3 linked regions of the Pelodiscus sinensis genome follow. The main gene of each other region encodes a partner of the protein of the gene in region 3 in a complex. Links are inferred from orthologs where the notes say so. Each region holds a gene or a part of one and is shown on either strand. Other genes may lie near its edges.

Region 1 (8,072 bases), on a different chromosome or scaffold from region 3:
ACAACTGGCCTTTCAAAATGGCCTCAGAGTATGCATTTTTAATAGCTAACGATTCTGTGCTTTCATAGCTTCCCTTCTCCCTCCCAGGACAGCCCAAAGATACTTATTACTCACCGTCTCCTTCAATGCCATCTTCACTTTCCTATTGAAAGAGAGAGACACACAAGCATGTTACTGGATGTGTAAAATTTCCAGGAAAATTTCAGTGACTTGCCTATCAGATGTGACCTCACTAGACATCTAGACAAGCTTTTGACAAGAGCCGGGTTGGGGAGATGCCTGTGACCCTGGCACACAGGAGAGTCATCCTGGAAGCTTACATTTAGAACAAACATGGATCTAAGAACTTGGACAAGAGTTTTCCTGAAAATGCATCCAGTTGCATGCACAAGGCCGGCCAGACTGAGGGAAATTCAAGTCCTCCAGGCAAGAAAAGGCAGTATGGAGAGGAGGGGTTTAAAGTGTGGTTAGTCAGTACTGATCTTTAGGGGAAAGAGGCCTACACAGAAATGATGAGCTCCCTTAATAAAATAAAACTAGAATCAGACTGCTGGCTCAGAAAGTTACTGGGGGATTGCTGAAAGCTGGGAATGGGTGACGGGATGATTACCTGTTCTGTTCATTCCCTCTGGGACACCTGGGCTTTGGCCACAGCCTGAAGACAGACTCCTTGGCTAGACAGACCTTTGGTCTAATCCATTCTTATGGATTATTTAAATTAGTGGCTTTCCCCAGCCTCCATGTGCTGAGGAGCACCAAACTCTCACAGCTGCTACAGATGTCAGAAACATAAATGTTAACGTCTGTCTTTATGGGATAGAGAGTAAGACTGAACTGGAGGAGGAGATCAGATCACAGAGGTAAATTCTGGAAAAGAACCAGAGTATCAGACTAAAGGAATTTAATAAAATAGGCTCATGCTCAAAAATTAAAAAACTGTGTATATAATAATGTAAAGGCTAAAAGCAAAAACAGGTGAACTACAAATATACCCGAAAGCAGAATAGGAACATGGTGTAAGAGGTCCGAGGGAATAAGCTACACGGCTATAAACTACACAGGAAGAACAATTAAACTGGACAGATGGGCAGAGCATTATCCTAAAAGACTTCAGAAAAGTCTACGAGGGGTGGGGAACCTCAGGCCTGGGGGCCAGATGTGGCCCTTGGCTTGCCTGGATCTGGACACTGAGACTCAGGGTTCCCCCTAACATTGGGGAGCCTGTGCTGGTGCTCCAATCCAAGCCTCTCTGTGGGGACAGAGCACACACAATCTACTAGGCTGGGGGCCCAGTGGGGGAGAGAGGATTTCCACTGCTTACTTGTGTGTGGCTGATTTTTCCATGGGTCAGCAGCCCCTGACTCAAAAAAGGTTCCCCACCCCTGCTCTAGGGTAATAGTACTGGCCTGCCCATGAAGAGTCAATGACAAACACAAAGAAGAAAGTCTGTAAACATGTCAGAAACAAGAAACCAGAGAGGGAAATGCTAGGTCCACCAAAGGCATAGGCAAGGAGTATTTTCAGCTGAGATTTACACTGTCACTGAAACTTATAAACACTGTGGCATTCATTCAGCTGACAATCTATGAAAACACAAGATTCAATTTTAACACCCTTTCACTCAACATCATTTTACCTGACAGAACCCATTTCAACCATCCTGATTGTTTTACATTTCTCTGAAATCTGAGAAATGTATTGGCTGAGCCATTGTCTTGACGACCAAATTAAGCTTTGCTAACTAGCTCAAAAGTTTCACGAGAAAGGGCTGCAGAGTGACCAGATGGAGATATTCATCTAAAAGTCCAGCCCCAAACCACCTGCACTAACTCATTTTGAACACCAGAGTCTGCATAATCTGTATTGCCACAGTGGAAAGACAGATGAGGAAAGATGTGGTCCTGGAATGAAAAAGATTATTGATGCAGAATTTTTCAAGTCAATGTAACGGTAGTTCCAGACCTACTGTAATGTATAAAGATGTGGCAAGGAGGGTCACTTGGCACATACTCTTTTGCCCTTTGTTACATTGCCTGTCTGTATCAAGGATTGAAGTAAATTCTGTAGCATGTGCACGAGGAAAGGACAGGAGAGGAGTGTGTTGATAAGATCTTTGGACACGGATTAATAAAGCTAAATCCCACTGCGCTGCCGAGATCCTTTTGATAAGGGGCTGAGCGGGGAGGTGGAATCCAGGGCTCCTAATCAATTCCTCTCTAAATACGTCCGCCTTACTGGTCTGGAGGAGGGCAATTTAGCAAGATTTTTAAGATGCGGGGCCGGTAAGCTTGCGGCCTGCCCACGCGCTTCGCACTGCAAAAGGAAAGTGACTAAAAACAACAAGCGAGAGAGGAGGCTCAGTCACACAAAGCGGTTTCCCCCACGGCCCTGCCGCCACCGCGGCGACGAGCAGACAACGGAATTCGAAGACATCGGCCCCAATGAGTTTCTCCCCAGGGTCAAGCCGCGGAGGGGGGGGGATATTACGTTTGGGTGGCAAACGCCCCCCCCCAGCCACATGCAACACTCTGGCCGCTCCCACCTCCCCTGACGGCCCCGCCCCGGGGGCTCAGCCAGCCCGACCTGTGCACAAGCGAGCCCCCCCCAACCACGCGGGACAGGCCCCCCCCGACGCGCGCGGGCCGACCCCTGCCAATGGGGAACCCCCCCGCGGGGAGGGGGGGCAGGCCCCTCCCATCCCTCAGACCCCCCCCCATTGTCGCCCCGCCCCCACTCACACACTCGGACTCCTGCGGGCTCTTGGCGGCCCCGGGCGCGCTCTCGGCCGCGCGGCCCCGGCCCCCCGCGGGCAGGTCCCCGGCAGCGCCCCGGGCCGGCCGGGGGGGCGAGGCGGGCGAGCCGGAGCGGGCCCCGCCGGCCGCGGAGTCGGCGCTGTCGGAGGCGGCCGAGTCGGACTCGTCCTCGCTGTCCTGGGAGGCCCGCTGCCGCCGCCTGTCCGCCATCTTGGGGGGGGCTGTGCGGGGGCGGGCGCGCAGGGCCCGACGGGACGGCGCCGGGACTACAGCTCCCAGGGGCGCACCGCGGCGCCTCCCGCTTCCGGCCCCGCCCGAGAGGGGAGGGGTCACAAGTCCCACTTCCGGGCAGCCCGCTCCGCGGCTCCCGCGAGGCTTTGTCAGAGAGCCGGAGTGCCTGCCCCGCCCTCAAGGGAGCCGCTCAGCGCGGGCGGCCCCACCCCTGCCTGGCGCGGCTGTGACGTCGTGCCGTCGCCGCACGATGACGTCATGTTACCGTCCAGGTGACGTCATTTCCTTGCTTGAAGCGGATTGCAGGCCATTTCCACGATTGAGCCGAGCACTGGGCCTGGGGCCGGGCTGGCTCAGCACACGGGGGCACAGCTGGGACCAGGGGAGAGCCAGGCCTGCGCCTTTCTGCAGGGCTAGGGGGGTCAGATACTTTCACAAAAAATCCAGAACCTGTCGGGGGGAGGAAGGTGTGTGTGGGGGGGAAATTGGTTGAAAAAAAAAAAAGAAGGGGGGGGAAGGACCCAGGCACCCAAATTTGTTGAGCCAAAAACAGTATTTTACTCCTGCAGTATTTTCTGTTGTTTTTTTTTAAACCCAAGAGAAGACGCAATTACCGGACTGTCTGGACAAAAACAGGACAACTGGCAAACCTATGCAGGACTCTACATGATTTGTTTCTTGCATGCACCTAAGTTTTTCCACAAGGGGGTAGCTCAATTTCACACTCCTTACCTTGTCCTGTATGCAGAGGGGTAGTCGTATTCAACCGAAAAAAACCACCACCAAATAGTCCTGTAGCACCCTCGAGACTACAGGTGATATCATGAGCTTGTGTATGCACAACCCACTTCTTGTGCCCACAAAAGCTCATACCACCATCTACGTTTTTGTTAGTCTCGAATTATGGTGCTGAAGGACTATTTGCTGTGGTTTAAGCTTGCCCTGTGTGTCCTTTTCCAGAAAGGAAAACCTGATAACTTGGGCCCTATTCCTCATAGGTAGTTAGGTGTCTAAATTCCCATCGACTCCAGTAGAAATTCAAAGGTATTTAGATGCCTGTGATCAGAGGGGCTACGTCTACACTGGCATGATTTTCCGGAAATGCTTTTAACGGAAAAGGTTTTCCGTTAAAAGTATTTCCAGAAAAGCACGTCTAGATTGGCAGGACGCTTTTCTGGAAAAGCACTTTTGCCGGAAAAGTGTCCGTGGCCAATCTAGACGCGCTTTTCCGCAAAAAAGCCCCGATCATCATTTTCGCAATTGGGGCTTTTTTGCGGAAAACACTACTGTGCTGTCTACACTGGCCCTTTTCCAGAACAGTTTTCTGGAAAAAGACTTTTGCCCGAACAGGAGCAGCATAGTTTTTCCGGAAAAGCACTGATGATTTTACATTAGATCGTCAGTGCTCTTCTAGAAATTCAAGTGGCCAGTGTAGACAGCTGGCAAGTTTTTCCGGAAAAGTGGCTGATTTTCCGGAATAACTTGCCCGTGTAGACACAGCCAGGGAGTTTGGCTACTACCCTAAGACCCGAAGCCTCAAGGATAAATGGGAGTCAATGTCATATCCACATCATACACAAGCACAGAGAGGTGAAGTGACTGGCACAACACTTCACCTCCCTCTGAAGACAAATCATGTTGCTTGCCATCACTGGAACAAGACAGAGGTGCATTGACCACACATCCATCCTTGCACGGTTATCTACCCAACACACTTGTTCTCTTTATGTAAAGTAAGGTGATTCTCTATACATTCCACAATAGGTTCATCTATTTCTTCCTGCATTTAGTATTTCAGCTCCCGAGGTACGCCCTTCTCTCAACTGTTATCTATGAGCAGCAGTGACTTTTCCTTTTCATCCACCCACTCGCTTAAAGATTTGTAAAGAAAGCAACAAAAAAAATGAACTAGGAGCAAGCACCTTCGTGTGGCTCCAGCATTATTGCTCCCTACAGAATTTATTAAGCAAGCATTTGGCAACAGGCCTTCAGCACTTGCCGCACACTGACCCAGACCCAGGAACGATCTGCATTGACGTTTTTAAAGAGCCAAAACAGACTCTCTGAGAAGCCTTTCAGAGCAAATTGGAGTCAGAAAAACAGTCTTGGGAAATATTAAGTGTTTCTTTAAAATACATTTGAATAGTGGCTCCCACATATTTAGCTATGGAATTGAGTGCTGGCTGGTTAGGGTTTCAGCTATTCAGACTGAAGAACCTTAAAATGTAGTTTTGTTTTGGTTTTTTTGAGAGAGACAGACACAAGGCATTAAGGGTAGACTGTTCTTCCAGTTCAGAGTTCTAAGCAAGCTATGGCAGCTGGTTAAAAATTCTAACGCTGGTAACACCATTCCTATGGACAGCACCAAGCATGCAAGAGAGAAGCAAGCTATATTTTTATTGGCTGAGAGAACGTTTCTAAACAAGACATATGCAAAGGGTTTGAGACAAACATGACAACAACATGTACGTGGTTTTTTTTCTATTTTATTGTAAAAAAAAAAATCTCGATTTGTTTAAATTTTTTAAACATACAAGCAGAATTGTTTAATACTCCCCAGTAACACTGTTAATTCTAACAAACTGAAGCAGAAATTCAAAAAATTAACAGCCACAAGTTTATTTACAACTGAACGTTTTTTATAAGATATTTACAAGACGACCAATTTTACATTAGAAATGGTATCAAAAGTATGCATTACAGACAACTAGGTGTCAAATGGCCATAAAACAAGGCTGAAGAATACAGACAAGCTTTTAATTGTATTTAAGATTTTTTTTTTTTTACACTAGCTTAAACTTGGTTAAAGAAAGCAAGGTTTTAAACCAAAGAACGGTTCTAATAGGGAATTGCAGGGCCTTCCATTGCAGATTGAGTTTCACAGTGTTGCACCCCATATTGGGAGAAATAAGACTTTTTCCCATGCCAACACTCACTGAAAATTTAACTTGGTACTTTCCCTCCAACCTACTCCCTGCCCACACACCCCATCTGTAGCTAACGACTGCTGGATAGATATCTATGAAAGATCATTTTTATAAAACATGGCTGCCTGTCTGGAGTTTAAAAACCAGGTGTGCCCTGGGAAATCAGGACCACTGGGACTTTAGTCTGAGGTCAAGCAGCTACCAGCAGATACCTCTCAGAGCTAGCTGTCACTGGGACGTAAGTGTTCTGACCCCTGAAAAGCCACGAATGCAGGGTATAACCAGAATGCAAAACCCACCTGATGCAGACCTGAAAGAGACAACATCAAGGAAAGAAAACAAGGCTCAAGCTTAATATTTGCCCATTTAACATGTTGGCTCCTAATTGCACAGAAATCCATTAAGAACACACGCTATCATGCGAAAGCAGGACACTCAAGAACAGCCTTATTTAAAAAAAAAAAAAAAAAAAAAGCGCAGTGCATAGCCCTAATGTTTCAGGCTATGTGGTACCAGGGTCCATGTCTCAAAAGATTTGCCCCTTTCATGTAGATTTCAGACCGTCTTTCAAACACCATTCCTACAGGAACCCTAGCACGGCCCACTGCCGTGTTGTAAGAATCAACCTCTCTCCCAAATTGCATAAGAATACATCCCAGTTCACAGGGAAAAGGAGGGAAAAAAACGCCACATTTTGTATTTGTGCATTACTATTTATAGCCATTTGAACCAAAGCAGGGAGAGAAGATTGCTGGCCTTAGACAACACTAACAACTCCAAAGGAACAATCAGAATGGAACATTTCTTCCCTGGCCCACGAACATTTTCAGAAATGACGTTAGCTCCTCCCCCAGCCGCACACATGTCAGAGGTAGGACAAGAACGGTGGAGCAATCTGACAAGCAAGCCTTGTGCACGAGAGTAACAGGCATGCTCTCTGTAGCAGCCAAACATTCCCCGGCCATCTGCCTTGACTCCATTCTGCTGTTAAGTCTGAAAGGTGATGGAGAATCCTGCCCCAGAGCATTTGGTATCACCACTAGTGTAGAACAACAATGAAGGCTCATTTCGTAAAGGAAGCAAATTACTAGAGCTAAAGCATAGGGACCACTCTAATTTTCTCTAGCCAATCCAAGCGTCTGACAAGATACGCGAGTTGCCAGCCACTGCTGTCCTTAAAACACTGAAAGGAAAACAAATCACCATTGTGCGTCTCGAATTCTGTTTTCACCATCAAAAACGTTTCCCACCCCCTATAGCCAGTTGGTCTAGAACCCGGCAGAGCAGCTGGCAAATAGGCTCATCTGGAGAAGTGTTTACGCACTGGCCATGGCGCAAGGAGAGTCTCGCTACAGAAAAGTGCAGAGAGTTGATTTCTGACCCAGGTTAACTAACCAGGTGTGTCTCATGGCAACAATGGGATGCAGCGTTCACTCCAGTCATGCTTGGCGAGACACAGCACATTCAGGACCCTCTGCCAGCCTCTCTCAGGGAAGTGGGTATTCATAAAGTTAGGTTCACTCATTTATTTAAAACCAAATCACCTATCTAGCACAACACAGGCACCGTACTGGCAGCCTGACCTGCCAGGCAAGAGGAAAATGCAGCTGACTTTACACTCCTCGTAGGTAGGTTCTTTACACCACAGAACTTCAAAGTGACAGCGTGATAAGCTTGCCTGCTGGTCCCATCTGCAAGTTCTTGCCAGGCAAGGTTTGGCCTGCTGGTTTCCCTCGCTCGGAGCTCTCAGCTGCATGTCTGAGAAAATAAACGTCAGCTTCAGAAAAGTGATGCGCACCCTGTGCTGAGCCAACGCCCAGGCAGGCTCGCAGGCGGGACAGGTATCAAGGCAGGCCTGTTTTTAGGCTTCTCAACCGTCACAAGGCCTCTTATGAGCTGCAGTGGCCACAGCAGCTGATGAAGTTTAGGCAGACGGCCTGAGCTTCCAGCACTGCTGCTCCAGCATAAAGCTTGAGAACTTGATGGTAAGAAAAGCAGGAGGGGGGAGAAATAAATAAACCACAGTTAGTCAGCCAGGTAAAGAATTTTGTGACAAAAAAACCAGAATGATGGGAAAGATACAGAGGCGTGGAGAAAACCGTCAAGGAGTAAGAATGTCCATAAGGGTAAAGATTCACAGGACTGAATAAAACAGTTCCTC
Region 2 (7,717 bases), on a different chromosome or scaffold from region 3:
GGAGGGGGGCTTTGGGAGAGGGGCATCGGGTTAGAGCAGGGGAGGGGGGCTTTGGGGGAGGGGCATCGGGTTAGAGCAGGGGAGGGGGGCTCTGGGGGCGGGGCATCGGGTTAGAGCAGGGGAGGTGGGGCTCTGGGGGCGGGGCATCGGGTTAGAACAGGGGAGGGGGGTTCTGGGGGCGGGGTATCGGGTTAGAGCAGGGGAGGTGGGGCTCTGGGGGCGGGGTATCGGGTTAGAGCAGGGGAGGGGGGCTCTGGGGGCGGGGTATCGGGTTAGAGCAGGGGAGGGGGGCTCTGGGGGCGGGGTATCGGGTTAGAGCAGGGGAGGGGGCCTCTGGGGGAGGGGCATCGGGTTAGAGCAGGGGAGGGGGGCTCTGGGGGCGGGGCATCGGGTTAGAGCAGGGGAGGGGGGCTCTGGGGGCGGGGTATCGGGTTAGAGCAGGGGAGGGGGGCTCTGGGGGCGGGGCATCGGGTTAGAGCAGGGGAGGGGGGCTCTGGGGGCGGGGCATCGGGTTAGAGCAGGGGAGGGGGGCTCTGGGGGGCGGGGCATCGGGTTAGAGCAGGGGAGGGGGGCTCTGGGGGCGGGGCATCGGGTTAGAGCAGGGGAGGGGGGCTCTGGGGGCGGGGCATCGGGTTAGAGCAGGGGAGGGGGGCTCTGGGGGCGGGGCATCGGGTTAGAGCAGGGGAGGGGGGGCTCTGGGGGCGGGGCATCGGGTTAGAGCAGGGGAGGGGGGGCTCTGGGGGCGGGGCATCGGGTTAGAGCAGGGGAGGGGGGCTCTGGGGGCGGGGCATCGGGTTAGAGCAGGGGAGGGGGGCTCTGGGGGCGGGGCATCGGGTTAGAGCAGGGGAGGGGGGCTCTGGGGGCGGGGTATCGGGTTAGAGCAGGGGAAGGGGGCTCTGGGGGCGGGGTATCGGGTTAGAGCAGGGGAGGGGGGCTCTGGGGGCGGGGTATCGGGTTAGAGCAGGGGAGGGGGGCTCTGGGGGCGGGGCATCGGGTTAGAGCAGGGGAGGGGGGCTCTGGGGGCGGGGCATCGGGTTAGAGCAGGGGAGGGGGGTTCTGGGGGCGGGGTATCGGGTTAGAGCCGGGGAGGGGGGCTCTGGGGGCGGGGTATCGGGTTAGAGCAGGGGAGGGGGGCTCTGGGGGCGGGGTATCGGGTTAGAGCAGGGGAGGGGGGTTCTGGGGGCGGGGTATCGGGTTAGAGCAGGGGAGGGGGGCTCTGGGGGCGGGGCATCGGGTTAGAGCGGGGGAGGGGGGCTCTGGGGGCGGGGCATCGGGTTAGAGCGGGGGAGGGGGGGTTCTGGGGGCGGGGTATCGGGTTAGAGCGGGGGAGGGGGGGTTCTGGGGGCGGGGCATCGGGTTAGAGCGGGGGAGGGGGGGTTCTGGGGGCGGGGCATCGGGTTAGAGCAGGGGAGGGGGGCTCTGGGGGCGGGGCATCGGGTTAGAGCAGGGGAGGGGGGCTCTGGGGGCGGGGCATCGGGTTAGAGCAGGGGAGGGGGGCTCTGGGGGCGGGGCATCGGGTTAGAGCAGGGGAGGGGGGCTCTGGGGGCGGGGCATCGGGTTAGAGCAGGGGAGGGGGGCTCTGGGGGCGGGGCATCGGGTTAGAGCAGGGGAGGGGGGGCTCTGGGGGCGGGGCATCGGGTTAGAGCAGGGGAGGGGGGCTCTGGGGGCGGGGCATCGGGTTAGAGCAGGGGAGGGGGGCTCTTGGGGCGGGGCATCGGGTTAGAGCAGGGGAGGGGGGCTCTGGGGGCGGGGTATCGGGTTAGAGCAGGGGAGGGGGGCTCTGGGGGCGGGGTATCGGGTTAGAGCAGGGGAGGGGGGGCTCTGGGGGAGGGGTATCGGGTTAGAGCAGGGGAGGGGGGCTCTGGGGGCGGGGTATCGGGTTAGAGCAGGGGAGGGGGGGCTCTGGGGGAGGGGCATCGGGTTAGAGCAGGGGAGGGGGGGCTCTGGGGGCGGGGCATCGGGTTAGAGCAGGGGAGGGGGGCTCTGGGGGCGGGGTATCGGGTTAGAGCAGGGGAGGGGGGCTCTGGGGGCGGGGTATCGGGTTAGAGCAGGGGAGGGGGGCTCTGGGGGCGGGGTATCGGGTTAGAGCAGGGGAGGGGGGTTCTGGGGGCGGGGTATCGGGTTAGAGCAGGGGAGGGGGGCTCTGGGGGCGGGGTATCGGGTTAGAGCAGGGGAGGTGGGCTCTGGGGGCGGGGTATCGGGTTAGAGCAGGGGAGGGGGGCTCTGGGGGCGGGGTATCGGGTTAGAGCAGGGGAGGGGGGCTCTGGGGGCGGGGTATCGGGTTAGAGCAGGGGAGGGGGGTTCTGGGGGCGGGGTATCGGGTTAGAGCAGGGGAGGGGGGCTCTGGGGGCGGGGTATCGGGTTAGAGCAGGGGAGGGGGGCTCTGGGGGCGGGGTATCGGGTTAGAGCAGGGGAGGTGGGCTCTGGGGGCGGGGTATCGGGTTAGAGCAGGGGAGGGGGGGCTCTGGGGGCGGGGTATCGGGTTAGAGCAGGGGAGGGGGGGCTCTGGGGGCGGGGTATCGGGTTAGAGCAGGGGAGGGGGGTTCTGGGGGCGGGGCGAGTGCATTGGGGTATTTTATAAACACAGGCTGAGAGACGCTGCTCTAGAGCGACCCCGGGGGGAGGCGGGGTCAGAGCCGGGCGTGGGGGGGGGGGGGGGAGGGGGGCGACGCTGGACTCAGAACCAGGCAGGATGGGGCGGGGCGAGGGGGCGGGGCCTCCAGCGCAGCCCCAGCCCCGCCCCGAGTTCTGGGTCCGCACCACCCGAAATAGCGGTGGGGGGGGGGGCGCTACCACTGGGGGGGGGGGGGGGGGGAAGATTCCAGCTCCGATAGATCCGGGCGGGCCGGGGGGGGGGGTCGGACCCAGACTCGGCCCAGTTGGGCGGGGCCGGGGGGGGTTCGGTACCGTCCCCATCCTCGTCCATGGCGAAGTCCTCGCCGCCCGCCTCGTGAAGATCCAGCACGTCCGCCATCTTGCCGCCGCTCCGCTGCCCGCCGCTGCCACAGAAGGGACGGGAAGACCCGAGCCGAGGCCGCGCTGCACGGCGGGAAAGGGGAGGGGCCGGAAGTGCCTCTCCAGCAAAAGGTAACTGCCGGGAGACCGCCATCTAGGGAAGGGCACGCGTCGGCCATGGGCGGCCGCCATCTTGGTAGAGTCACGTCCTCCTCCCTGCTGGGAGCCGCCATATTAGTAAGGTCAGGATGTTCTTCGCCCTCTCGGCGCCATTTTGAGAAGGGCAGGAGATAGGCTCATGCTGCGCCCTCTCCCAGTAGCAGCCAGCTGCTGTCTCACAGCAGCCAGGCCAGACCCCTCCTCAGCTGCACCTTGGACTTGTCCCCCATTTGGAGACTGTCTCCTTCCTACTTCCCTGCTCCCATCCCCTTGGGGCTCCCCCCTCTGATGCATCAAACCCCCAGCAAACCCCCCCTCCGGCAAGCCCCCCATGGTACCTAGCCTGCTCACATTGGTAGCATCCCCTCCGCTCGCGCTCCCGTGACCCCCTCACATGCCCACGTGGGGCAGGGCAGACGGCTGCTGTATTTCCACCCATTTTCATCTGTCATTGCTGGAATGGCCGCCCTGGGAACACGGCAGCGCCTTCAGCTGGACACACCACGTTGACATTAGAGAGCCCAGCGCATTGCGATAATGCTGCAGTTGAGGTGTACAAAAAAGAGAATCCCTAAAAGGAAAAGCTCAAATACAGAGGTTTCTCCTCCATCCACAGATTAAGGACAGTGAAAGCAACATCATTAGGGTTGCCACCTGTCTGGTTTTGAACTGGACAGTCCAGTATTTGAGCTTTCCGTTTGGGAAACAAATTGAGAAAATACAAATGAGAAAATATAAATGTCCGGTATTTTCTAAATCAGATGTAATGTAGATTGTGATATAATGTCAAATGTGTCCAGTATTTTTGTTGAAACCATCTGGCAACCCTAAACATCAGTACATATTTCTCCAGTACATTACTCCACCCTAAGGGGTGTTAGTTGGACTGGTGACAGCCTTTCCCAATCCCTGTACCTCTTCCAGGAGTCTGATTTCAGTTGCTTCCCCCCCCCCCCCCCCCGTTTCACCTCACTTAAAAACAACTGGCTTACAAAAATCAGACAAAAAATACACAAGCATCACAGCCACACAATTATTGAAAAAATTGCTGACAATCATATAAATATTGGAAGATAAATATTGTACTCATTTCTATTTCTGTACTGTACGTAGCACATAAGAGTAGTACAAACAAGTCACTGTCTGTATGAAATTAGAGTTTGTACTGGCCTCGCTGGTGCTTCTTTATGTAGCCTGTTGTAAAACTAAGGAGCTCTCTAGAAGAGTTGATGCGTCTCCTGGAAGACTCCTGGTTGAGAACCACTGTCTTGGATGATCTTTCCCCCAGCCATTCACTGCATGGGCAGAGGTGACAACTAATTGCCGTGCACGGTTTTGCTGATAGGGACACCTGTTTAGTGAAAACTAGGAGAACCACCCCCATCCCCCAACTCATTTGATACAAGCTAGCACCCCCCCTGTGATTCCCTAAACTCAAAATTGGCCATTTACAGGTGAAGCAAACTTCACCCACTACTGCAGTGTGGCTCTGGTGGTTTAATTTCTCAGCTCTCATCTGAAATGGCCACATATGGAGATCTCATCTTATCCTAACACAGGGGACTGCCAAAGTTACAATCCTTTCTCCAACAGCTCACAAAGGCCAAGTGGTTTTGGACAGCATCTGGTCTACGTGCAGCAGATGCTGCATCTGCCAGTGGGATGAGCCTGGCTGTCCCCTTCTTCTAGATTTAAAAAAAACAAGCCTCACAGGGAATCTAATCACAAATGAGGCTACCTCACCTACTTTTTGAGAGTGAAAACAAATGTCCCACTGGAAGCAGGTTGTTGCCTGCTTTTGCAGCAGGTTGGTACGTTGTGACATTTTGCCTCCTTCCCACTCCAGGGAGGGCAATGCAAAGCAAACATCGTCTCTTCAGAAACCTTTAAACCAAGGTTGGTTTAGCAACACCCAGGGCAGCTCTTCAACTGCCCACAATCCTTGGATGCAAGCCATGTTGATTATGTCCAAGCTGGTTATCACACTCAGAGAGAGGGGAGTGCTAGAAATACAGGCAGTCCCCGGGTTACGTACAAGATAGGGACTGTAGGTTTGTTCTTAAGTTGAATTTGTATGTAAGTCGGAACTGGTACATATTGTAGGGGAAACTCTAGCCAAACATTTCTCCAGAGCTCAGTTTTATTCTCCCACACCTCACTTCCCTCAGTCCTTTATTCTCAAGCTGAGGTGTCTGCTGAGAAAAGCCGCTCCGCGTCTCCCTAGTCTGCTGGGGGGGGGCGCTAGCTCCGTGTCTCCCTGGTCTGCTGGGGGGGGGGCGCTAGCTCCGCGTCTCCCTGGTCTGCTGAGGGGAAGCAGCTAGTGCGGGGTTGCCTCACCCCGTTTGTAAGTAGGAATCCAATGTAAGTCGGATCCATGTAATCCGGGGACTGCCTGTAGAATAAAGCTGTTTTTGATTTACGGATGTCTGGGATACAAGGCAGTAAAACTTAGGCTTGATCTACACACAAAACATAGGCTGAGGTACATTCCTTAAAAGGTGTGAAAAATTCACTCACACACACAAGACATAGTTAACCCATCCTACGTCCTGGTATAGACAAGGAAGGATGACAGCAGAATTCTTTTGGCAGCCCAGCTACAGTGCCTTCACAGGATAAATTTACTACAGTGATGGGAATCCTAGAATACTAGAACTAGAAGGGACCTTCAGCGGTCAAAGTCCAGTCCCCTGCCCTCACCACAGAATCAAGCACCATCTAGATCATCCCTGACAGGGTGTTTGTGTAACCTGCTCGTAAATATCTCCTGTGATGGAGATTCCACAACCTCCCTCAGCAATTTACTCCAGTGTGTAACCACCCTGACAGTTAGGAAGCTTTTTCCCCAATGTCCAATCTAAACCTCCTTTGCTGCAATTTAAGCCCATTGTCCTAGCATCAGGGGTCAAAGAGAACAATTTTTCTCCCTCCTCTTTATAACACCCTTTTAGATACTTGAAAATTGCTTTCATGTCCCCTCCCCTCTCAGTCTTCTGTCTTCCAAACTAAACAAGCCCCATTCTTTTAGTCTTCCCTCATAGGTCATGTTTTCTAGACCTTTCATCATTTTTGCTACTTTGTCCAATTTCTCCACATCTTCCCTGAAATGTGGTGCTGAGAATTGAACACGATACTCCAATTGAGACACAATCAGCACAGAGTAGAGTGGATAAATGACTTCTTGTGTCTTGCTCACAACACTCCTGTTAATGCCTCCTAGAATCACGTTTGCTTTTTTTGCAACAGCATCCCACTGTCCACTCATATTTAGCTTGTGGTCCACTATGCCCCCTAGATCCCTTTCTGCAGGACTCCTTCCTAGACAGTCGCTTCCCATTCTGAACAGCTGTGTCTAGACTGGCAAGTTTTTCCGCAAAATCATGTGATTTTGCAGAAAAAATTGCCAGCTGTCTACACTGGCTGCTTGAATTTCCGCAAAAGCACTGACGATCTCCTATAAAATCATCAGTGCTTTTCCGGAAATACTATGCTGCTCCCGTTCGGGTAAGTCTTTTTCCGAAAGACCTTTGCGCAAGAGGGCCAGTGTAGACAGCATAGTACTGTTTTCGGCAAAAAAGCCCCGATCGCAAAAATGGCGATCGGGGATTTTTTGTGGAAAACTGTGTCTAGATTGGCCACAGATGCTTTTCCACAAAAAGTGCTTTTGTGAAAAAGCATCCTGCCAATCTAGATGTGCTTTTCCAAAAATGCTTTTAACGGAAAACTTTTCCGTTAAAAGCATTTCCGGAAAATCATGCCAGTGTAGACGTAGCCAACGTGTGAAACGGATTGTTCCTTCCTAAGTGGGGTACTTTGCATTTGTCCTTCTTAAACTTAATCCTGGGCGCACTGAGCTCAACTGGTGTCTAGAAGGACCAGGAGCAGCCAGGTGCCGAGAGGGTCAACCCTTCAACGGCCTTACGTCTCGGTGCCACCAGTTGTGCCTATGCATCAGCGGGGATCTCCCCTGTGCAATCTCCTTTTCTTTGGCACCGAGGATTGGGATTGGTGCCTCAGAGCCATGGTCTTCTGCGGAGCTGTAGGGCGTATCCGTGCCATGAAAGACTCGCACTATCGGTGCTGATTCTGCTACCGGCTGCAGCGCAGAGCAGTTTTAAGTAGGAATCTCATTCCCTTTTGGTGCAGGGATTGAAACAGATTTACAAATCTACAGATTTTACAAGACTCTGCACGGTGGCCCACCCCCAGACACTTCAGGCTAGAGTTGTGGGGGGGTCCCTGCAGGGCATGGCCTTCAAACAAGTCGCACAAGGTTTAAAACCCTGTGGACCTGGCATCCCCTCCCCAGGAAGGGAGAGAGAAGCGATGAACCCGCTAACACTAATTACTTAGCCTGTGTTCTTAGTTGTGTAAATAGTTATCTACAATGCTAACTATATGCACGTTGGGCAATTGGGAAAGCACAAAGATGCTCCAGCTACCCTCATGGGCAGTAAGAAGGAACTGAGGGAGGAGAGGGCTAGCAGGGGTATTTATGCACCGATATACAGGTGCCACTCCAGGGGGGCCCCTGCTGCCCCGAAGGGTACTGCTGGGGAAAAAAGCTCCAGAATCCGTGCACCTCATTCCAATGCACACGAGC
Region 3 (6,905 bases):
AACCATCTTGTTAGTCTTTAAAGTGCTACATAGTCCTGTATTTTGTCACTGCCTTGAGGCACCGTTCCCTGAAAGTGAAGCACTTGGGTGGCTGCCCAGGAGAGATTAAAATGCCCCCCAGCCAATTAACAGCGTGCCCCCAGCTGGCAGCAGGTATTCCTACTGGTGGTGCACATCTGCACGTGCCTTGGTGCACAGAACAAAATGTATTCTGCACACAGAGGGAAAACAGAGGGAACAGCGTCTTGACGCCCTTTGTTTGGAGGAAGGGGACGAGTGAAGGAGCAGTCTGGGCGGCATTTCCTGAGTGGGTGCACAGGAAAAGGGACAATGACACATGGGTCAGCATTATACGTGCAGCAAAGAATGTTTGGTCTCGGTATCTGTGCACGTTGCACCTCTTGTTCAGGGGCATCAAGGCAGAACCCGGTCTCAGTTAGAACTAAAAGAGGATCAGAGAGGGGCTCCCTCGCCCCAGCAGGATCTCCAGGGAATCGAGAGGGGGGCGTGGCAGGGCTGTCCAGGTTCCAAGTACAAATCAAAGACTGTGGTTTCCATTTCTGTTTTCAGCAGCGTCTTACTCACTTTATTCTCCAAGTAGCCTCACAGGAATCTGATCATTCACAGAGAGAACGATTACTCAAGGTGTGTAAGGGTAGCACAATCCAGGCCTTAAGAAGCTCTACACTCACGCTAAAGAAAACCAAATTAGCTGCAGGAATAAAGGAAACTCGCCTAGTTCTGCAGCTTCAGCCCCAACAGACAAGTAGAAGTGCCTGCCTTTCACGCTAGATGTGACAAGAGGGTAGCCAGCTTACACAAGATATTCACAATCAGCTGTGTACACTTCTCTGTAAAAAGCGCTGGACACTACCCAGCACACAAGCCCTACGGTCTGAACCTGCAGTGGGCTCCACGTGTGTGTGGACTCCTAATGAAAAGAAACCAAATGGACACTGGCTGATGTGATTTGTTCCAATAAATCAAGTCTTGGCCCTACCAACTTTGAAAGCTCCAGAATTCTACTGGCCTGCAGTCCTTCATATGGACTGTTCTACACACAACCCCTCCCTTCCCTTGTTCTACAGAGGCAACAGCCACTCTGGAGTTTGAAGTGCGAAGGAGCCAACGTTGTGCCAATGGGAGCGGCTCAGCGATGAGGCTACAAAGAAAATCAGTGCAAAATAGTCCAGTTGAAGAAATAAAGGGGAAAAAATGAAGCTGACAAATGCAAGGCAATGTAGAGTCCCTCCACCTTAGTGAGGTGACCCTCTGGCAGCAAGTGCCGTCAGACATACCCCCCCCCCCCCCAACCGGCATCACACCCACAAGGTGGGCTCCATTGGGCCAAGTTCATTTGTGCACTTTGCTATGTACTAGAGCCACACGCTCCAACTCTCCAGAGTCCCATCTGCACTGGGAGAAGGGGCCCTGGATACCAGTTCTCAGCTATTACGGACTCTCTGTAAATTTACAGACGGTTGGCAACCCTGGTACTGGGTCCTGCTGTGAGGGCGGGGACTGGACTGGATGAGTGTCCGTGATTCTATGTGACACATGACTTCAGTCAGTGTTAGAAATGGCTTAGGAGGGGCCAGATGGGACAAAATCATTCTCAGCGCAGTTACCAAAAGACTTGGACAGTTAAGCCACTTTTATTTCTGACTGGGGGGCACCTGCTGCTTATTTCATGTATCAGCGTCCTAGTGTAGATGGGTGCAGCACACCTTGCGGAACAGTGTTGGAACTGGAACACAAGCCACCTTTGGCCTTGCAGACAGTTCACAAATGACTGGAACGGACAAGCAGTCTCAGCTCTGGATCATTTCCTTTCACCCCCCGCTCATTACAGCTTGGCACTGCCAGGCAGGTCCTGGCTATCTGAGCACCCTTCGGCTGCGGCAAGGCCTAGGGAGAAAGGCAGAAGCAGCAGCATCGCAGCTCCGGAAGGAATGCGAGGGACCAGCAGAGAGCTAGACACAAACGAGCCAAGCAACTGTACTAAGCATGGCCAGACCTAGACACTATCACAGGCCCAGCGATGTTCCACAGACGCACAACCCACCCCAGAGAAACCCAGTTATCACGGGGAGAAAACCCAGCACCTCCCCTGGGGCGGCCGGCGCGGGCCCAGCACCCCGCACCCCCCCCCGCCCCCGGGGCGGCCGGCGCAGGCCCAGCACCCCGCACCTCCCCCCCGCCCCTGGGGCGGCCGGCGCAGGCCCAGCACCCCGCACCCCCCCACCCCCCGGGGCGGCCGGCGCAGGCCCAGCACCCCGCACCCCCCGGGGCGGGCCCAGCACCCCGCACCCCCCCACCCCCCGGGGCCGCCGGCGCGGGCCCAGCCCCCCGCAGCCCCCCAGCCCCCGGGGCGGGCCCAGCACCCCCCGCACCCCCCGGGGCAGGCCCAGCACCCCGCACCCCCCCACCCCCCGGGGCGGGCCCAGCACCCCGCACCCCCCCAGCCACCGGGGCCGCCGGCGCCGGCCCAGCCCCCCGCAGCCCCCCAGCCCCCGGGGCGGGTCCAGCAACCCCCGCACCCCCCCACCCCCCGGGGCGGCCGGCGCGGGCCCAGCACCCCCCCCCAGCCCCCGGGGCGGGCCCAGCACCCCGCACCCCCCCCAGCCCCCGGGGCGGGCCCAGCACCTCCCCCGGGGCGGCCGGCGCGGGCCCAGCACCCCGCACCCCCCCGGGGCGGGCCCAGCCCCCCACACCCCCCCCACCCCCCGGGGCGGCCGGCGCGGGCCCAGCACCCCCCCCACCCCCCGGGGCGGCCCAGCGCCCCGCACCCCCCGGGCCGGCCGGCGCGGGCCCAGCACCCCCCCCAACCCCCGGGGCGGGCCCAGCCCCCCGCACCCCCCCACCCCCCGGGGCGGGCCCAGCCCCCCGCACCCCCCCACCCCCCGGGGCCGGCCCAGCACCCCGCACCCCCCCAGCCCCCGGGGCCGGCCCAGCACCCCCCCCAGCCCCCGGGGCCGGCCCAGCACCCCCCCCCAGCCCCCGGGGCCGGCCCAGCACCCCGCACCCCCCGGGGCCGGCCCAGCACCCCGCACCCCCCGGGGCCGGCCCAGCACCCCGCACCCCCCGGGGCCGGCCCAGCACCCCCCGGGCCGGCCCAGCACCCCGCACCCCCCCACCCCCCGGGGCCGGCCCAGCACCCCGCACCCCCCCACCCCCCGGGCCGGCCCAGCCCCCCGCACCCCCCGGGCCGGCCCAGCACCCCCCCCAGCCCCCGGGGCCGGCCCAGCACCCCGCACCCCCCGGGGCCGGCCCAGCACCCCGCACCCCCCCAGCCCCCGGGGCCGGCCCAGCACCCCGCACCCCCCGGGCCGGCCCAGCACCCCGCACCCCCCCCACCCCCCGGGCCGGCCCAGCACCCCGCACCCCCCGGGGCCGGCCCAGCCCCCCGCACCCCGCGCAGGAAGCTGGAGGTGGAGCGGCCCCCCCGTGCCGGTGTCACACACCCGGGACAGACCTCAGCCGCGCGTGCCGGGCCCGTCCGCCTCAGCGCCCCTCCCCGTGGCGCCGGGACTCGCCTCCTGCCGGGCCCGCTCTGCTGCCTTTGTGCGCCCGGCCGGCCCCGAGCAGCCTGGGGGGGCGGGGCGGGGGGCGTAGCCCCTGGGGCCGCAGCGGGACCCGCCCCCCATGTGAATTGACGGGGCCAGGCCCCCCCGGGAGCGCTGGTGGTGACACGTGGGCACACGCCCCGCCCCTTGCCCCGCCCCGCGGCGGCCTCTGCTCTCCGCGCCCCGCCCCCGGCTCGTCCTAGGGCGGGAGGAGGAGCCAGCGCCTGGGGGCGGGGCCAGCTCCGCAGCGAGGCTCGCCTTCCCCGTCACGCGGCGCAGGCGCGCGGCAGAGGCTGGGCGCGAGGCGGAGCGGCCATGTCGGGCGCGGCGGGCGCGGCCCGCAAGCGGCTGCTGAAGGAGGAGGACATGACCAAGGTGGAGTTCGAGACGAGCGAGGAGGTGGACGTGACCCCCACCTTCGACACCATGGGGCTGCGCGAGGACCTGCTGCGCGGCATCTACGCCTACGGTGCGCGCCGGCCTCGCGGGAGGGGGAGGGGCCGGGCCTCGCGCGGGCTCCCCTCGCCGCGGCCGTTGCCCCGCGGGCCGCGCCTGCGCAGCGCTTCGCTCGCCGCGCGCCGAGCAGCCCTCGGGCCGGGGGGGAGGGGCGGTGGTTATTGGCCGGTTTTGAACTGGCCCTGGGCTGCCCCGGAAGGGGCGGGGCCTCAGGCGGAAGGGGCGGGGGCCAGGACACTTCTGTGCTCCCCTGATTGGCCTGGGGGTGCGTGAGCTGCCTCCCCCCCCCAACTGCCGGCTGTTCTGAAGGGCGGGGGGGAGGAGACTTGGCGCTGCCCCCAGGGGAGGGAGAGCAGGAAGGGCCTGGCTCCCCCCCCGCCCTGCACGGGGCACCCGGGACTAAGTGCGGAGCCCTCACTGGCCTGGGGCGCCCGCAGTCTCCCCCCGCCCCCCCCGCCCCTCAGGGCGTGCTCCCTCTGCCCCCAAGCCCTCACTGGCCTGGGGCGCCCGCAGTCTCCCCCCGCCCCCCCCCCACCACTCAGGGCGTGCTCCCTCTGCCCCCAAGCCCTCACTGGCCTGGGGCGCCCGCAGTCTCCCCCCGCCCCCCCCCCACCACTCAGGGCGTGCTCCCTCTGCCCCCAAGCCCTCACTGGCCTGGGGCGCCCGCAGTCTCCCCCCGCCCCCCCCCCACCACTCAGGGCGTGCTCCCTCTGCCCCCAAGCCCTCACTGGCCTGGGGCGCCCGCAGTCTCCCCCCGCCCCCCCCGCCCCTCAGGGCGTGCTCCCTCTGCCCCCAAGCCCTCACTGGCCTGGGGCGCCCGCAGTCTCCCCCCGCCCCCCCCCACCACTCAGGGCGTGCTCCCTCTGCCCCCAAGCCCTCATTGGCCTGGGGCGCCCGCAGTCTCCCCCCGCCCCCCCCGCCCCTCAGGGCGTGCTCCCTCTGCCCCCAAGCCCTCATTGGCCTGGGGCGCCCGCAGTCTCCCCCCGCCCCCCCCCCACCACTCAGGGCGTGCTCCCTCTGCCCCCAAGCCCTCACTGGCCTGGGGCGCCCGCAGTCTCCCCCCGCCCCCCCCGCCCCTCAGGGCGTGCTCCCTCTGCCCCCAAGCCCTCACTGGCCTGGGGCGCCCGCAGTCTCCCCCCGCCCCCCCCGCCCCTCAGGGCGTGCTCCCTCTGCCCCCAAGCCCTCACTGGCCTGGGGCGCCCGCAGTCTCCCCCCGCCCCCCCCGCCCCTCAGGGCGTGCTCCCTCTGCCTCCAAGCCCTCACTGGCCTGGGGCGCCCGCAGTCTCCCCCCGCCCCCCCCCACCACTCAGGGCGTGCTCCCTCTGCCCCCAAGCCCTCACTGGCCTGGGGCGCCCGCAGTCTCCCCCCGCCCCCCCCCCACCACTCAGGGCGTGCTCCCTCTGCCCCCAAGCCCTCACTGGCCTGGGGCGCCCGCAGTCTCCCCCCGCCCCCCCCCCACCACTCAGGGCGTGCTCCCTCTGCCCCCAAGCCCTCACTGGCCTGGGGCGCCCGCAGTCTCCCCCCGCCCCCCCCCACCACTCAGGGCGTGCTCCCTCTGCCCCCAAGCCCTCACTGGCCTGGGGCGCCCGCAGTCTCCCCCCGCCCCCCCCCACCACTCAGGGCGTGCTCCCTCTGCCCCCAAGCCCTCACTGGCCTGGGGCGCCCGCAGTCTCCCCCCGCCCCCCCCCACCACTCAGGGCGTGCTCCCTCTGCCCCCAAGCCCTCACTGGCCTGGGGCGCCCGCAGTCTCCCCCCGCCCCCCCCCACCACTCAGGGCGTGCTCCCTCTGCCCCCAAGCCCTCACTGGCCTGGGGCGCCCGCAGTCTCCCCCCGCCCCCCCCCGCCCCTCAGGGCGTGCTCCCTCTGCCCCCAAGCCCTCACTGGCCTGGGGCGCCCGCAGTCTCCCCCCGCCCCCCCCCACCACTCAGGGCGTGCTCCCTCTGCCCCCAAGCCCTCATTGGCCTGGGGCGCCCGCAGTCTCCCCCCGCCCCCCCCGCCCCTCAGGGCGTGCTCCCTCTGCCCCCAAGCCCTCATTGGCCTGGGGCGCCCGCAGTCTCCCCCCGCCCCCCCCCCACCACTCAGGGCGTGCTCCCTCTGCCCCCAAGCCCTCACTGGCCTGGGGCGCCCGCAGTCTCCCCCCGCCCCCCCCGCCCCTCAGGGCGTGCTCCCTCTGCCCCCAAGCCCTCACTGGCCTGGGGCGCCCGCAGTCTCCCCCCGCCCCCCCCCGCCCCTCAGGGCGTGCTCCCTCTGCCCCCAAGCCCTCACTGGCCTGGGGCGCCCGCAGTCTCCCCCCGCCCCCCCCGCCCCTCAGGGCGTGCTCCCTCTGCCTCCAAGCCCTCACTGGCCTGGGGCGCCCGCAGTCTCCCCCCGCCCCCCCCCACCACTCAGGGCGTGCTCCCTCTGCCCCCAAGCCCTCACTGGCCTGGGGCGCCCGCAGTCTCCCCCCGCCCCCCCCCACCACTCAGGGCGTGCTCCCTCTGCCCCCAAGCCCTCACTGGCCTGGGGCGCCCGCAGTCTCCCCCCGCCCCCCCCCCACCACTCAGGGCGTGCTCCCTCTGCCCCCAAGCCCTCACTGGCCTGGGGCGCCCGCAGTCTCCCCCCGCCCCCCCCCGCCCCTCAGGGCGTGCTCCCTCTGCCCCCAAGCCCTCACTGGCCTGGGGCGCCCGCAGTCTCCCCCCGCCCCCCCCCCCCGCCCCTCAGGGCGTGCTCCCTCTGCCCCCAAGCCCTCACTGGCCTGGGGCGCCCGCAGTCTCCCCCCGCCCCCCCCCACCACTCAGGGCGTGCTCCCTCTGCCCCCAAGCCCTCACTGGCCTGGGGCGCCCGCAGTCTCCCCCCGCCCCCCCCCACCACTCAGGGCGTGCTCCCTCTGCCCCCAAGCCCTCA

The links.
Region 1: the proteins of EIF4A3 (region 3) and CASC3 are in contact, whole or in part, in a crystal structure (PDB 2J0U), measured with the Homo sapiens proteins. The link is inferred for Pelodiscus sinensis from reciprocal best matches to the Homo sapiens genes EIF4A3 and CASC3. Residues at the interface, in NP_055555.1 of Homo sapiens: Thr178, Arg179, Lys198, Ile201, Tyr202, Tyr205, Arg206, Tyr207, Leu208, Pro209, Pro210, Thr212, Lys231, Phe232; in NP_031385.2 of Homo sapiens: Arg217, Trp218, Glu219, His220, Asp221, Lys222, Phe223, Glu225.
Region 2: EIF4A3 (region 3) and RBM8A share a complex: the UniProt entries of both Homo sapiens proteins name them as parts of the ALYREF/THOC4-EJC-RNA complex. The link is inferred for Pelodiscus sinensis from reciprocal best matches to the Homo sapiens genes EIF4A3 and RBM8A.

The regions. Positions count from the first base shown.
Region 1 is NC_134739.1:10,950,539-10,958,610, forward strand, and holds the start of CASC3 (protein CASC3), read right to left. Parts: upstream 3,084-8,072; 5' UTR 2,964-3,083; coding exon 2,739-2,963; intron 143-2,738; coding exon 115-142; intron 1-114. UniProt on the Homo sapiens protein: Required for pre-mRNA splicing as component of the spliceosome. Core component of the splicing-dependent multiprotein exon junction complex (EJC) deposited at splice junctions on mRNAs.
Region 2 is NC_134734.1:19,820,808-19,828,524, reverse strand, and holds the start of RBM8A (RNA-binding protein 8A), read right to left. Parts: upstream 3,067-7,717; 5' UTR 2,975-3,066; coding exon 2,908-2,974; intron 1-2,907.
Region 3 is NC_134713.1:198,331,044-198,337,948, reverse strand, and holds the start of EIF4A3 (eukaryotic initiation factor 4A-III), read left to right. Parts: upstream 1-3,829; 5' UTR 3,830-3,881; coding exon 3,882-4,035; intron 4,036-6,905. UniProt on the Homo sapiens protein: ATP-dependent RNA helicase. Involved in pre-mRNA splicing as component of the spliceosome. Core component of the splicing-dependent multiprotein exon junction complex (EJC) deposited at splice junctions on mRNAs.